3 linked regions of the Rattus norvegicus genome follow. The protein of the gene in region 2 interacts with the protein of the main gene of each other region in a biochemical or structural test. Links are inferred from orthologs where the notes say so. Each region holds a gene or a part of one and is shown on either strand. Other genes may lie near its edges. The genes, in order: Rab5c, Eea1 and Rab31.

Evidence for each region.
Region 1: the proteins of Eea1 (region 2) and Rab5c form a complex in vitro, tested with the Homo sapiens proteins (2 studies listed by BioGRID and IntAct, with this or other methods). The link is inferred for Rattus norvegicus from reciprocal best matches to the Homo sapiens genes EEA1 and RAB5C.
Region 3: the proteins of Eea1 (region 2) and Rab31 form a complex in vitro, tested with the Homo sapiens proteins (2 studies listed by BioGRID). The link is inferred for Rattus norvegicus from reciprocal best matches to the Homo sapiens genes EEA1 and RAB31.

Annotation. Positions count from the first base shown.
Region 1 is NC_086028.1:86,145,900-86,149,498, forward strand, and holds part of Rab5c (ras-related protein Rab-5C), read right to left. Parts: intron 2,776-3,599; exon of another isoform or gene 2,760-2,775; intron 1,910-2,759; 5' UTR 1,822-1,909; coding exon 1,656-1,821; intron 341-1,655; coding exon 189-340; intron 1-188. UniProt on the Homo sapiens protein: The small GTPases Rab are key regulators of intracellular membrane trafficking, from the formation of transport vesicles to their fusion with membranes.
Region 2 is NC_086025.1:32,490,284-32,494,646, reverse strand, and holds the start of Eea1 (early endosome antigen 1), read right to left. Parts: upstream 2,854-4,363; coding exon 2,830-2,853; intron 1-2,829. UniProt on the Homo sapiens protein: Binds phospholipid vesicles containing phosphatidylinositol 3-phosphate and participates in endosomal trafficking.
Region 3 is NC_086027.1:112,825,204-112,829,310, forward strand, and holds the start of Rab31 (ras-related protein Rab-31), read right to left. Parts: upstream 2,890-4,107; 5' UTR 2,800-2,889; coding exon 2,761-2,799; intron 1-2,760. UniProt on the Homo sapiens protein: The small GTPases Rab are key regulators of intracellular membrane trafficking, from the formation of transport vesicles to their fusion with membranes.

The sequences.
Region 1 (3,599 bases), on a different chromosome or scaffold from region 2:
GTCATTACAGATGGTTGTGAGCCACCATGTGGTTGCTGGGAATTGAACTCAGGACCTCTGGAAGAGCAGTCAGTGCTCTTAACCACTGAGCCATCTCTCCAGCCTGAAAAATGAAGTTTTTATAACCCAGTTCTTGGGTATGGGCAAATAGAAATGAAGGGCAAAGAGAAAGGAAGGAAAGTCTTTACTGTGTTGGTGATGTCATAGACCACAATGGCTGCTTGGGCCCCCCGATAGTACATCGGGGCCAGGCTGTGATATCGCTCTTGCCCAGCTGTGTCCCAGATCTCAAACTTGACCGTTGTGTCGTCTAAGCAGACAGTCTGTGTGAGGAAAGCCGCTGCAAGAGAAAAGGTGCTGTCATTAGGCAAGGAGGAGCTGGAAACCACCCTGACTTGGGTGTCTCTGTTGTTGATTCTGGCATGTAGAAGCCTGTCCACACAGGGCAGGTGGGGCTTATGCTCCTCTATGTTGTCTGGGAAGTGTCTGCACTTGAGTCATTTCAGAGCCACCCTGCAAAGCACAGCAGGGGCTGGATAAGGGAGGCATGGGGGAACCCTGATGCCAACCTCGAAAAGGTAAGCTTCCATTCCCCCTAGCCTTCCTTCCGCTGCCCTTCACAGACCCATTTCAGCTCAGGGGTGAAAGCGACCTTCAGTTTTGGGAAGGTATTCTCTCTGGGAAATATACACTGTCACACTGCCAGGCTGTGGCTGGGTGGCTGGCTTCCCAACTACCCCTGCCACCTCCAGGCACTCCAGCAAGCCACTATCCCCACTGTGACTCAGAACTGTTCTTGTATGGCCAACCTGTGGTTTGAATACAGATGCTACCTGAGACAGAAACACAGCTGCCTAGAAACCTCCTACCAACCAAGAGAGCAAAGAAGGAAGACTCAAGTCCATGGGTAGCCCTGGCCTCTTGAGGTTCACAAGGACTATAGATGTGAGAGGTTGAGGCAAACATGCTTTGAAGGAAAATCCTAGAGCTGGGACAGACAGGTAGACAGGTAGGACTCCCCATATCCTGGACTCAGCAGAAGATTATGACAGTTCTGTGGGAAGCGGTTTTCCTTGTTGCTGTTCCCCACATCCCCAGCCCCCTGAAGAGCCTGGGCTGCCAACTCACTTCCCTCTCTCTAACTCCTAACAGAGCTGAGGAGGCAGTGAGAAGACTGCTGACATGGCCCATTCTGTTTCCAGCTGCCTTGAAATCTACTAACCAGGAGAGCAGAAGGAAGACTCAAGTCAAGGCTGGCTCAAATTTGAGAGGCTCAAATTGACTAAGGATGTGAGAGACTGAGTCTAGACCCTTATTCACATCCTAAATGCTGCCCAATGGGGAATCAGAGATACCTTCTGAGCTCCAGAAAGAACAAAGGACAGCAACAGAGGACAGAGGACAGGACACACATACTGCCCTGCAGGGAAGAAAAAAAAAAGGCCTCACATCCACACAAATAATAGAGGCCAGACTAGAGCAGAAAGCCAGTTTCAATCCCTAGGTAATTCTTAGCATCCTTGCTTCTGACTGCTGGGTTCAACTCCAGAGCCCAATGACAAAAAGGTGTTCCAAGGTCAGACCCAGTTTCTGTATGCACAGCTTTCCTTCTCCTCCAGACACCTCTGGCCTCCCGACTCCCTTTGCTCACTCACCTCCAATTGTGCTCTCCTGGTACTCATGGAACTGCCCCTTGACAAAGCGGAGGACCAGGCTGGATTTGCCCACTGCAGACTCGCCCAAGAGGACCAGCTTAAACTGACAGATCTTGTTGCCTGCAGCTGGTCCATTGGGTCGTGCTGCACCTCCTCGACCCGCCATGGTGCGATGCTCTGTAGTAGTACCAGTGAGCGTGGGGGTGGGGTCGGTGCTTTGCAAAGAGGCACTTAATGGGAAGGGAGGCCTCCAACTGCAGGGGAGAAATCAGAAGTAGGGAGTTAGAATGAGACTGTCAAAGGTGCCCTCCCTGATGACCTGGGTAACTGCTCTTGCCCCTAGACTTCCAGCCCTTTCCACAGGATTGAACAGGAAGTCTTTACTACATTGAACTATACTCTCTCCCGCAGAGTGGTACCAAGCAAAATGGCTTCCCAACGTTAGGCTCATGGTTCCTGAGCAAAAACTCAGACTTCCCTCTCTCAAAAACATAAATTCACTTAAAAAAATACAGGAGAGGAATGGATACCAGCATGAGTCAACAGGTTCATTGAGCTCTACCTCTGCACTCCCCCAAAAGAGGGCCCTGGAAGACAACTAGGATTTAGGTCATCAAACAATAAGATTGTAGTCTAATACTAGGCTCACAGCCTACTCTGCAGGAGCAGTGTGGGGAGGTGGGTGAAGGCACAGCAGGCCCTGGCAGCCAGCTCCTCAGATACGGTGCTTATGGTACTCGGAGAGCAAGACCTGGCAAGCTAGAGTTGTCATCAGAATGGCCAGGCTTGTGCCACACAGCACAATGACTGACTTTCTTGCCTTTCTGAGGCTGTACACCAGAATCTAAGCATGCTCCCTTGCACTTCCTCAGCGTCTTTCCCGTCTTCAGTTTTGGAAGGGCCTAAAGTCTCACACACATTAAAAAACAAACCACACAGAAAACCAAACATGCTCTGTGGCCGGAGCTCTGCCCCAAGTCTCTGCTGCCAGCTCTCCCTTTTAAATAGAGACCTAGCTTCCACTGCCTACTGGCAGAGGCAGAGGTGACACAAAGGAAGCTTAGGGGGAGGACGGGTGGAGGCAAACATGACACTGAGACCTACTTTCCTAGCAGCTGGTGGTCCAGTCCTGAGTTTACCACTCAGCCTCAGAAACTCAAACTTTCTGGAAGCTTCCAAACTGCACAGAAGGATGAGAAGCCTCTAGAAAACATATGTCGAAAGATATCAGAACACACATAGGGAGAGCTGAACTTCCCCTGAACGGGAGTGTATCCCCTATAGTCCAGGGACAGGGAAATGATGAACAGAGGCCTGTGGGAAGCTCTGTGTCCCTGTAAGAAGCTGACAGCAAAGGGCCTGCTTTGTTCAGCCTCAAATCCTTTGCACATCCAGAATCTCCCAACAATTCATTTTAAAAGTGAGCTTCAGGAAGAATGACTCACTAATCAGGAGCAACTGTTTCCTTTCTGGGCAGCACTAAAGGAAAAAAAAGCTTTGAAATGGGGGCCACCTCTTCCCCAAAGTACAAGGAAGGAAGTTGGGGGGGGGGGCGGCGGCAATCTTCAATATGATTACTAACCAGAAATGTCATTTAGACATGCCATAGGTAAGATGCTTTCTCAGTCACCCTGGACAGGAAAGACAAGGCCTGTACAGTTTCATTGGGAGAGCTTGCTCTCAATGCCCATGCGTGTTCTAGGAACTCAGAGTGCTTACCTCAGCAATCATTCTGACAGACGGAGCTAGCACTCAAGGAGAACTGCACTATTATCTCTTTTGAGCTTTAACATAACCTTCTATTTTTATAGACATAACTCGACAATATTAAGTGCCCGGGTCAAGGCCATTCAGTATACAAGTGACAGAGTCAGGACACTACTGGCTACTCGGGTTAGTACACACAGGCTCATTTGTTATCAGGCTGTTCTCCCTGCTGGGGCG
Region 2 (4,363 bases):
CCTTCTTTTACAAGCTGCCTTGTTCATGGTGTTTATCACAGCAACAGAAATGTAACGAGGCTAGTATCTGAATCAAAATACTTACTCCTCACATCCATATCAGAGTGTCTTAATCACCATTACCATCTTTCCAGACTTTTCTAAGCCTCAATAACACCTTTAGTAAGCTAATAGAAGAAGAGGAAGAAGAAAATTTCTGTGATGTATCCTAAGGACTGCCTAGTAATGTTCAAAGACTAAGCTAGAATTTATTATATGTGTAATGTCCTTTGTCTTTCAAAATGTTATCTAAAGTATACCAATCAGAAGAAAATTATAATAGTCAAAATAAAAGGTCATCTAAAAACAGGATGTGAAGGGCAGTGAGATGTAGTTAGAAGCGTAGAGACTGCTCAGCAAAGCTCTAAATCAGTGTGTATAGTTTCAGTTTTGTATCTTAATGCCATTGCTGAGAAATAAGGTTGACAGGCAAAGTGAATAAAATTGACATTTACAAAATTTAAAGATTCATGTTATACCTGTTAGCAAAAAACACCTGTAGAGTTAATAAAAAACACCCAGTATAGGATCTACATTAGTAATATAGATCACAAGTCCTATCGTCATCAAAGGCAGACTTGAACACCTTCAAAGAGCTACAGGTTCCTCTCTTAATTTGGTCACTCCTCACTAGAGTAGCCTCATATCCCACCCATCCCTGAATACCATCTCACTTCTTAAACTTAACTGTTCATCTCCCCCAAGCATGTTTTGTTCCTTTAATGGTCCCATACTTTTATAAAGGCTATTCCCTCAGCCTGACAATGTCCTTTGCTCTCAAGCTATAAATATGCCCTCCTTCCCGAAGCTTATCATAACTGCCTAACACCCTCCTCCAAAGTAGCTCCCAGAGCATTCCTCATTCTTCCAGTTCACAGCACTGTAATTACTTTTTGATGTTCACCTCCCCAACCAGGTACTGAGTTCTAAAGGGAGGGCCACATCTTATTAAAAACCATTTCATAGCTCCTAACATTATGCCTGAATCCTACTGAAGCTCAACATACACACTGTAGAAGAGAACATTAACTATAAGAGACATTTCAAGATTTTCTATTGATGGATATATCCATATACATCATATACACATACACATATACATGATGGTGGCTCTCAACCAGAGGCAATTTAGCCCCTAGAGAACATTTGGTAAAGTCTGGAGATAATTTCGGTTGCCTCAAAGCAGATATAATATTGGAAGTAATGTTGCTATCATTTACTCAATAGAAGTATGGATGACCTTAACTACTGACAAATACATCCTAGGCCACCACTAGGACAGAATGACTTGCTCACAAGAATCTCTAGTTCCAAGGCTGAAAAGCCCATTTGTCAATCTGGTTTATTTAAATATGAGGATTCAGTAATACATCTCAGCAGTAACCACAGTAATCACCATGTGTTGGTCTTGACAGAGACTTCTAGAACAGATAAACAAACAATACTAAGAATGACCTTCACATAATCCCAGGTCTTCAAAACTGGAAAGCAACCCACATTTTTTGAAAGTCAGACTGTAGCCACCAGAAGCAACTCCCAAATCAGAAAACACTGTTGATAAACTTTAAAACCACAAACTCCTTTTCTTTTGTGTAACTATGACAAATATATTATATATATATATATATACATATAATAATCAATCATGCACAGAAGCCTTTACTCTTAGACAAGGCAACTGATGAGGAGAGAAAAGGGTATGCCCTTGTTTGCTACCAAAGTACCGCTTTATCAAATTTTCAAAAAACTACCAAAACGATTGCAAAAGGAAAAAAGAACTCAAATGTCACTCCAGAGGGTCAGAGGCAGGAGTTAACTATTTTTCCTCTGATGCATGACCAGATGACTTCAACGTTTCACAGAAGCTGTCTAAACAGAATCTTCCCTTCCTGTGTACTAGCTGACTCAACCCTCCTTGGCACATTCCTTAACTAAGTACTACACATTCATTAAGTTCCTGTCCTTTGAACTAATTCTCCTACTCTTTAGGTAACATCTCTTTACATTAACCAGTCTCAGAAGTGAGCGAATGGAAGCCATCCAAAACAAAACCTTGAGTAGGCAACTCTTATTAGAAGAGAATTTAATTATGTTATTCTAGGAACTGGTACCTAAACAAAACACCTACGGCTTTCCAACGCTCTTACCTTTTTACCCTCAAGATTTTCCAGATTTTACATTGAGAAAGCCCCAGTAGAAACTAAACTGGAGTGCATTTGCCTTTTGATCCATTTATTCCTGGATAACTAAAATGAGGCTCTGGGTCTTGGAAAGGAAAATGCACTTGTAATTCTTAAAAGAAAGTTTCCAACAGTGAGTAATATCTTCCTTCTCCACTTTGGCAGTTAAGCTTCTTTAAGTCCCAGCACTAGGCCGGGTCTCCCATTACCCTCTTGTACGGTGCAGAAGAGTAAGGAAGCAGAGCGTCGAGAGGCAGGTGTGTGTTGTGGGGTAAGTGGAGGCAAGCTGGAGCAGGGAAGGGCCCGGCAGCCGCCCACCGCCCAGCACAGCCTAGCACCCACGGGCGGGGAGCGGGGAGGGACGCGCGGGCACCACACCCTCCAGCCCGTGGTGACAGCCCCGCGCGGGAGCCGGCCTGGGGCCTCCGGGCTCCGGCCTGCGCCCCGCCCCACCCGCAGCCCGGCTCCGGCAGGACCTGCAGGCCTCGGCGCACGCTGCCACCGGGCCTAGTGGAGCCCCGAGCACCCCCGTCCGCCTGCCCGGGCTGCCCGCGACCAGGGCTCGGACGCTCGCGCTCACGTGCTGCCGGAAGGACGGTTTCACTCTTACCCTCTGCAAGATCCTCCGAAACATGGTTTGTCCAGCCGCCGCCGCCGCCGCCGCCGCCGCCGCGGGGACTCTCCGCACCCAATGCGGGTTACTCACGACTGGAGGGCGCGAGGGCCGGCAGCCGAGCCGGGAGGAGGGCGGGGAAGAGGCGGCGGTGGACGCGGCTTTGGCGGCCCCGACTTCCCCACAGGCGGCGAGAGGCTGCGAGCACGAGCCAGCGAGGAGGTAGCCAGCGAGCGCCCGCCTGCCGGGCCGCCCCCGTAACTGACAGCTGGGCGGGCCCGCCCGCCGTGGCCGAGGGGCGGAGTCGCTGCAGCCCCGCCTCCTCGGCCTGTCCATCCGCAGGAGGGCGGGGCAGGAGGTGGGCCCGGCTTGAGGGTTTGACCAATCGGAAGCGGGTCAGGCGTGACAGACAGGCGGCAGGAAGCTGATTCTTCAGCTTCTTCCGCCCAGCGCTTGGACCTCTGGGCGCCGGACCCTGCTCAGGAATTTAGAGGGCTGCATCCTGATGGAGAAGCTGAGTGGACACCTCATGAGTCCCTCCTGGAGGTGACCCCACCCCGGGCTGGAGGAACAGGCTCCAGTGTTACCTTCAGCCGAGCTCCAGCTTATGATGGAAGTTTGGAGCGCTCTTAGTGCGTCGACCCTGAGCCCAATCCTCCTCTTGGCTGGAAAGGCTGATTCGACCACTAAGCTCCAAGCCAGTGTGAACCCGAGAAACCGAGGCCTACTTAACCATGTTGGGCTAACCTCTGCTTTTCCAGTCCCAGTTTACCCGCTTTCCTGCTTCTAATTGCAGCTAGAGCCACAGTAAAGCATGGGAGGAGGCTGGGTTTTGGATTAACTAGAGAAGTTTGAGGTTATTCCTTTGTGACAGGGCAAAGGTCTCTTCATCTTAGTTCGGCTGGAGCCATCTTTGTTTTAAGCTAAAACACTCTCTCTCTCTCTCTCTCACTCTCTCTCTCTCTCTCTCTCTCTCTCACACACACACACACACACACACACACACACACACACACACACACACACACCCTTCCATGGGAAAGCACCTAACCATGTTCTAAAAGCAAGGAGTTGAAATACCCCAGCTAACTTCGTGTCCTTGGCTTCTGTTTAACTACTTGCTTGCTTCTTCCTGCAACTGCCAACTAGGATGTGAGTTTTCTGTGTTATTTGTCACTTAAAACTCTCTGTGATGTACATTCGAGGTTGTTCTGTAATAATTGTTTCTCCCCCAGGCTTGGGAGGCCTCTGGCAGGTTCTAGATGACTAAACTGCACAAGGTGAGGCTTAGGATACTGACTATACCTAATGACCTGGGAGCTGAGGGAGTAGTCAGAAAGGCCTGGGAATTGAGGATTCCTGGGTGGGCTCCCAATTTGCAAAAAGACTGTGCAAAAGAAAGAGGCATTGAACACCTCGGGTAAGGTTTCTCTGTAGCTAGTAATCCTAGGGACTTGTGGAAAAGCTAAATGCAGTGTCAACTTGTGAGTCAATGGGGCTGCTAGGATGCTGTCCTCTCTGTTAGGTTCAG
Region 3 (4,107 bases), on a different chromosome or scaffold from region 2:
CCACCAAGCACAAAGACTAGCCACCAGGCCTTTCCAGCAGGAGTCAGACTTTGGTATGCAGTAAATACACTATGCCACCTTCTAGGCAACTGAGGGTAAAGCTGGCAGGGTATATAAGGCTTCAAGGGATCTGTGACATAGCTTTAAAACAAAACAGGAAGCTGAGAGTCACCCAGAGCAGGTGTGCCTGACCATGACAACAAGGTCTAGGGTTCCTGCTGAAATCCTAAAAGGACTGTAGGACTGACTCACTGAGGACTCCATCATCAAGCACAGGGGATCTCTCAAATTTGAGCAGGCAGTATACCAAGGCTGTGGACCTCCCTTAAAGAGCATCTTAAGACCACCTCAAACATACAGCCAGGGTATTTAGGTAGGTAGCTACAGATGCACCCTGTCAGTCACACTGTCACATCTGGCCCAGAAAAAGACCAGCCAAGAGAAGCCTGGAAGCCTAAGGACTGGTACTCAGTATGGGCCAGTTCGCTTGCTCTTTGAAATAAAGTATCTTCTGACCTTGGCAACACTAAAATGTGAAGCTCCCTTCAAAACAGGGAGCCGCTGATGTGGCATGAGATGAATGGGGTTTCAAAACTTCCAGAATTTTCTTCTTTCTCCGTTATAGCGTCCTCCACCCCCCGTTTAAATTCCTATCTGTAGGGCCATCACAAAGAGACCAAAATCAAAATAAGGCACCATCACTGCCTCTAGGAAGCCTGTGGAGATTGCTTTGTTTGTGGAGATGGAGAGAAAAAGAAGAGTTTCTCCAGTTACGTCATCTCACCCAGGCTTCTCACCATCGCAGACCAGCAGGAAATGGTCACTCACACATAAACGCACACACACGCACACACACACACACACACACACACACAATACCACATACACCACACACACACATACATACACATACCACATACACCACACATACAAACACATACCACACACCCCACACTCACACCACACATACACACACCACAATACCACACACACTACACACACACATCACACACACACATCACACACACACACACACACACACACACACACACACACACCCGGTAAGAGACCATCGAGTATAGAGATCTCTGCCTTCAAAGAGAAAGGATGATATGTCCAGTCTACAATTAAACCACTTAACTACCTACTCAGCCCTTCCAGGCCCTGGGGCAGAAGACAGGCCAGGCCTCTTGATTCCTGGTTCTGAGCCCTTGCCACATTCATCACTGTCCTAATAGGACACTGAAACTACAAATTAAAGAAAATGTCAATGGGACTGAGCCTGAGCACCTCGGTAGGTAGATTGCAAAGGGAGAGGTGTAACTCACCTCCAACAGCCAAACGTGTTTCCTGTTTCATCGTTCCCCATGGCTAACTGTTACATGGCCCTAGCACCAAAGCTTCCTTTTCGTGGGGCCTGATGTTCCTTTGAAATCTTCAAAGGCCTTTCTCCTGTGGGACTCCTAGTTCTAGACTATTCCCCCGCAGACGTGAAGCTTGCTCCTATGACACCAAAAGTTCAAAGGAGAACTCCAAGAGCAGCATCCTGCCCAGCCTCCTGGGTGAGGAGCCCTAGACTCTGCTTGACTCTGAAGAGGAAGAAAAGGTCTTTGTCAGACCCTTGGGATTCTCTACAAACCACTGCAACTAGTGGGAAGTGTGGAGGGCTGAGGGCAGTGTGGGGTTCGGTCCCCAACACTTCCTTCCATCGAGGGGGCCCAGATGAAACCACAAGCTCCTGGTGCATTCGACCCTAATCCACAGTCATTGCCTGTATTCACCTCCACATCCACCCTGACAGACCCATTAGCATTTCTTTGAGAAGAATGGATGTGGCCCTACTCTTTTATTTAGGAAATACTTTTCCTTACAGGGCCAGATTTGCCAACTTCAAGGGCAGTATGCCCGGTGCTAATGCCAAAGACTACAGAAGACTGCAGAAGACTACAGAAAACAAGGCTTAACATCAACTCTTACTTGGGAAGACTTCCGGAATTTGGTGTGGGTAGCCCCAAAGAAATGACCCCTTACGCCGAATCCCCTGGGCGTTTCAAGGGGACAGCGCACAGTGGCAGAGTATGTCAGTCTGGTCTGCCGGTCTCAGGGTTTGGATGCCTTTTCTTTCTTTGTTTCTGACTGCTTTTATATTTCTTGGGACTGACACTCATTTTGGAAGAGGAAGGGTGATGGGGGCGGGTGTTTCTCATCCTGCTTCATTTTCACCCACTGCACGGAAAGTGTGCTGGACGTACAGTTCATACATAGTTTGCTCTTAAGGCTTCGCAGTGGGGCCAAAACCCCGGTCCTCCCACTCTTACTTGGAAGGATTGGTTTGTTGGTTTGTTTTCTGAGAGGATAAAGCAATTGCCACCACCGCTTTCTACCCACCCCTGCAGGAGGCAGAGGAAAACCAGAGCCTCCGCGGAGTGACTTAAATATTCCTCAGGGAAGTAACCACCAGTGGCAGAGGCAAAAGCCGTAGGGGCTCAGGGGCTGCAGGACCCGCAGTCGTCCTGTTCTCAACAACCCCCAACCTCCCACTCCTCCACCCCGCCCTGCCGGACCTGCAGCTTGGCGAGCCCCAAGGTTGCCAGACGCGCGGCCGCAGACCGGAGGCGCTCCGGAGCATCTGGGACCCGGCGGCCGGTGTGGGGCGCGGGATGGAGCGCGCGGGACCCAGGGGAGCGCGCGGGAGGCGGGCAGCGCGGGGACAAAGGCGCGTAGAAGCCGGGATCCCCGTAGGCTGGGGCCAAGACTCACCCCGAGAAGACACACTTTGAGCTCCCGTATCGCCATCATGTGCTCTGGGTCGGGCCGGGCCGGGGCTCAGCAGCATCGTCCGGGCCGCACCGCGCCCAGCCTGCGTCCAGCCGTCTCCCAGGGCTCTCGCCGGCCGCGGGGCGGAACCGCCGAGGCGGCTATTTCTGGGCCGCGGCCTCCGCTGTCGGTCACGTGCCGCCGGCCGGCTCCTCCCGACGCGTCTAGTCTAGCCTAGCCGCGGGGCTTCGGCTCCGCCCGGCCCCGGTCCCGCTTCGGCCTCCGGTGACCACCCAACAACGGACTTGCGGGCAGACCGTCCCCTCCCGCGATCAGCTCGGAGTCTGGTCGAGCATCACTTGCCTTGGGAGACCTGGACACAACCCGTCGCATCATAAAGAGCCATTCGTCCAGTTCATGCTGTTGGCTTTGGTCCCAAGGAAGAACTTCCAAGTCCCTGGGTAGTCCCACCATAAAGTAACTCTGACCTCTTAGATGTAAGAAACAGCGGCGGCCAGGGACTGGGGTGAGGAGAGGAAAGGGTTAACTTGTCTCTCCTAGCGTCCAGGCTTCCTCCCAACACTTCACTTTACCCTGTGCGCATTTTTTTCTGTACGGCGGCAAAGGACGATGATTCAGGGATGATTCGAGAAGCAGCCAAGAAGCGAACAACTGTTTCTGTTTCCAAAACTGGAGCACTGAGGCCTGGGAAAGGAAAGGTGCACTCTGGAGAGGAAGCCCCCCTTTCTCCATGTAGAAAATACTACAGCTGTGTGGGCAGGAGCCCAGCTACAAGAACAGCCACGAGTGGGGGGCTGACAACCCTTCTGCAGACTCCTCTACTAGGAAACTGAGGCTATGTGCAGCATGGCTTCACACTGAGGGGCCATGCCCTCTGGTCTTTGTATGGCCCAGTGTCCTTCCAGCCTCTGGGATGACTTCATTTGTTGCTGTATACAAATGACGGCTCTTGAGGAGTAATCTAAATCTACTGGCACTTCTAATTGTAAGCATGTGTTTTCAACAACACTGGATGTGGCTCCCCTGCCCGCAGGAGTGGTGGCTGTTAGAAACTGATTGACCAGGCAACCTGGAAACAGACTGACCAGTACAGAAGCAGAACCATCCTTTAATGAGAACAATGAAGAACAGTTGTCTCTCATGCAGTGGAGGCCGCCAGTGTGTGCTTCGGGCTTTATAGGGCTGAAGAGGGATTTGTGAAAGGGAAGTTTTAGCTGTTGATGTGGACTTTGTAGTTTCAAGGCCCAGTGTCAGCAGAAGTTCTCATTACCTGACTTTCATGTTGGACAGGTGTTCTTATCAGTACCCTGGGTCTGGAGTTCCTCCTTG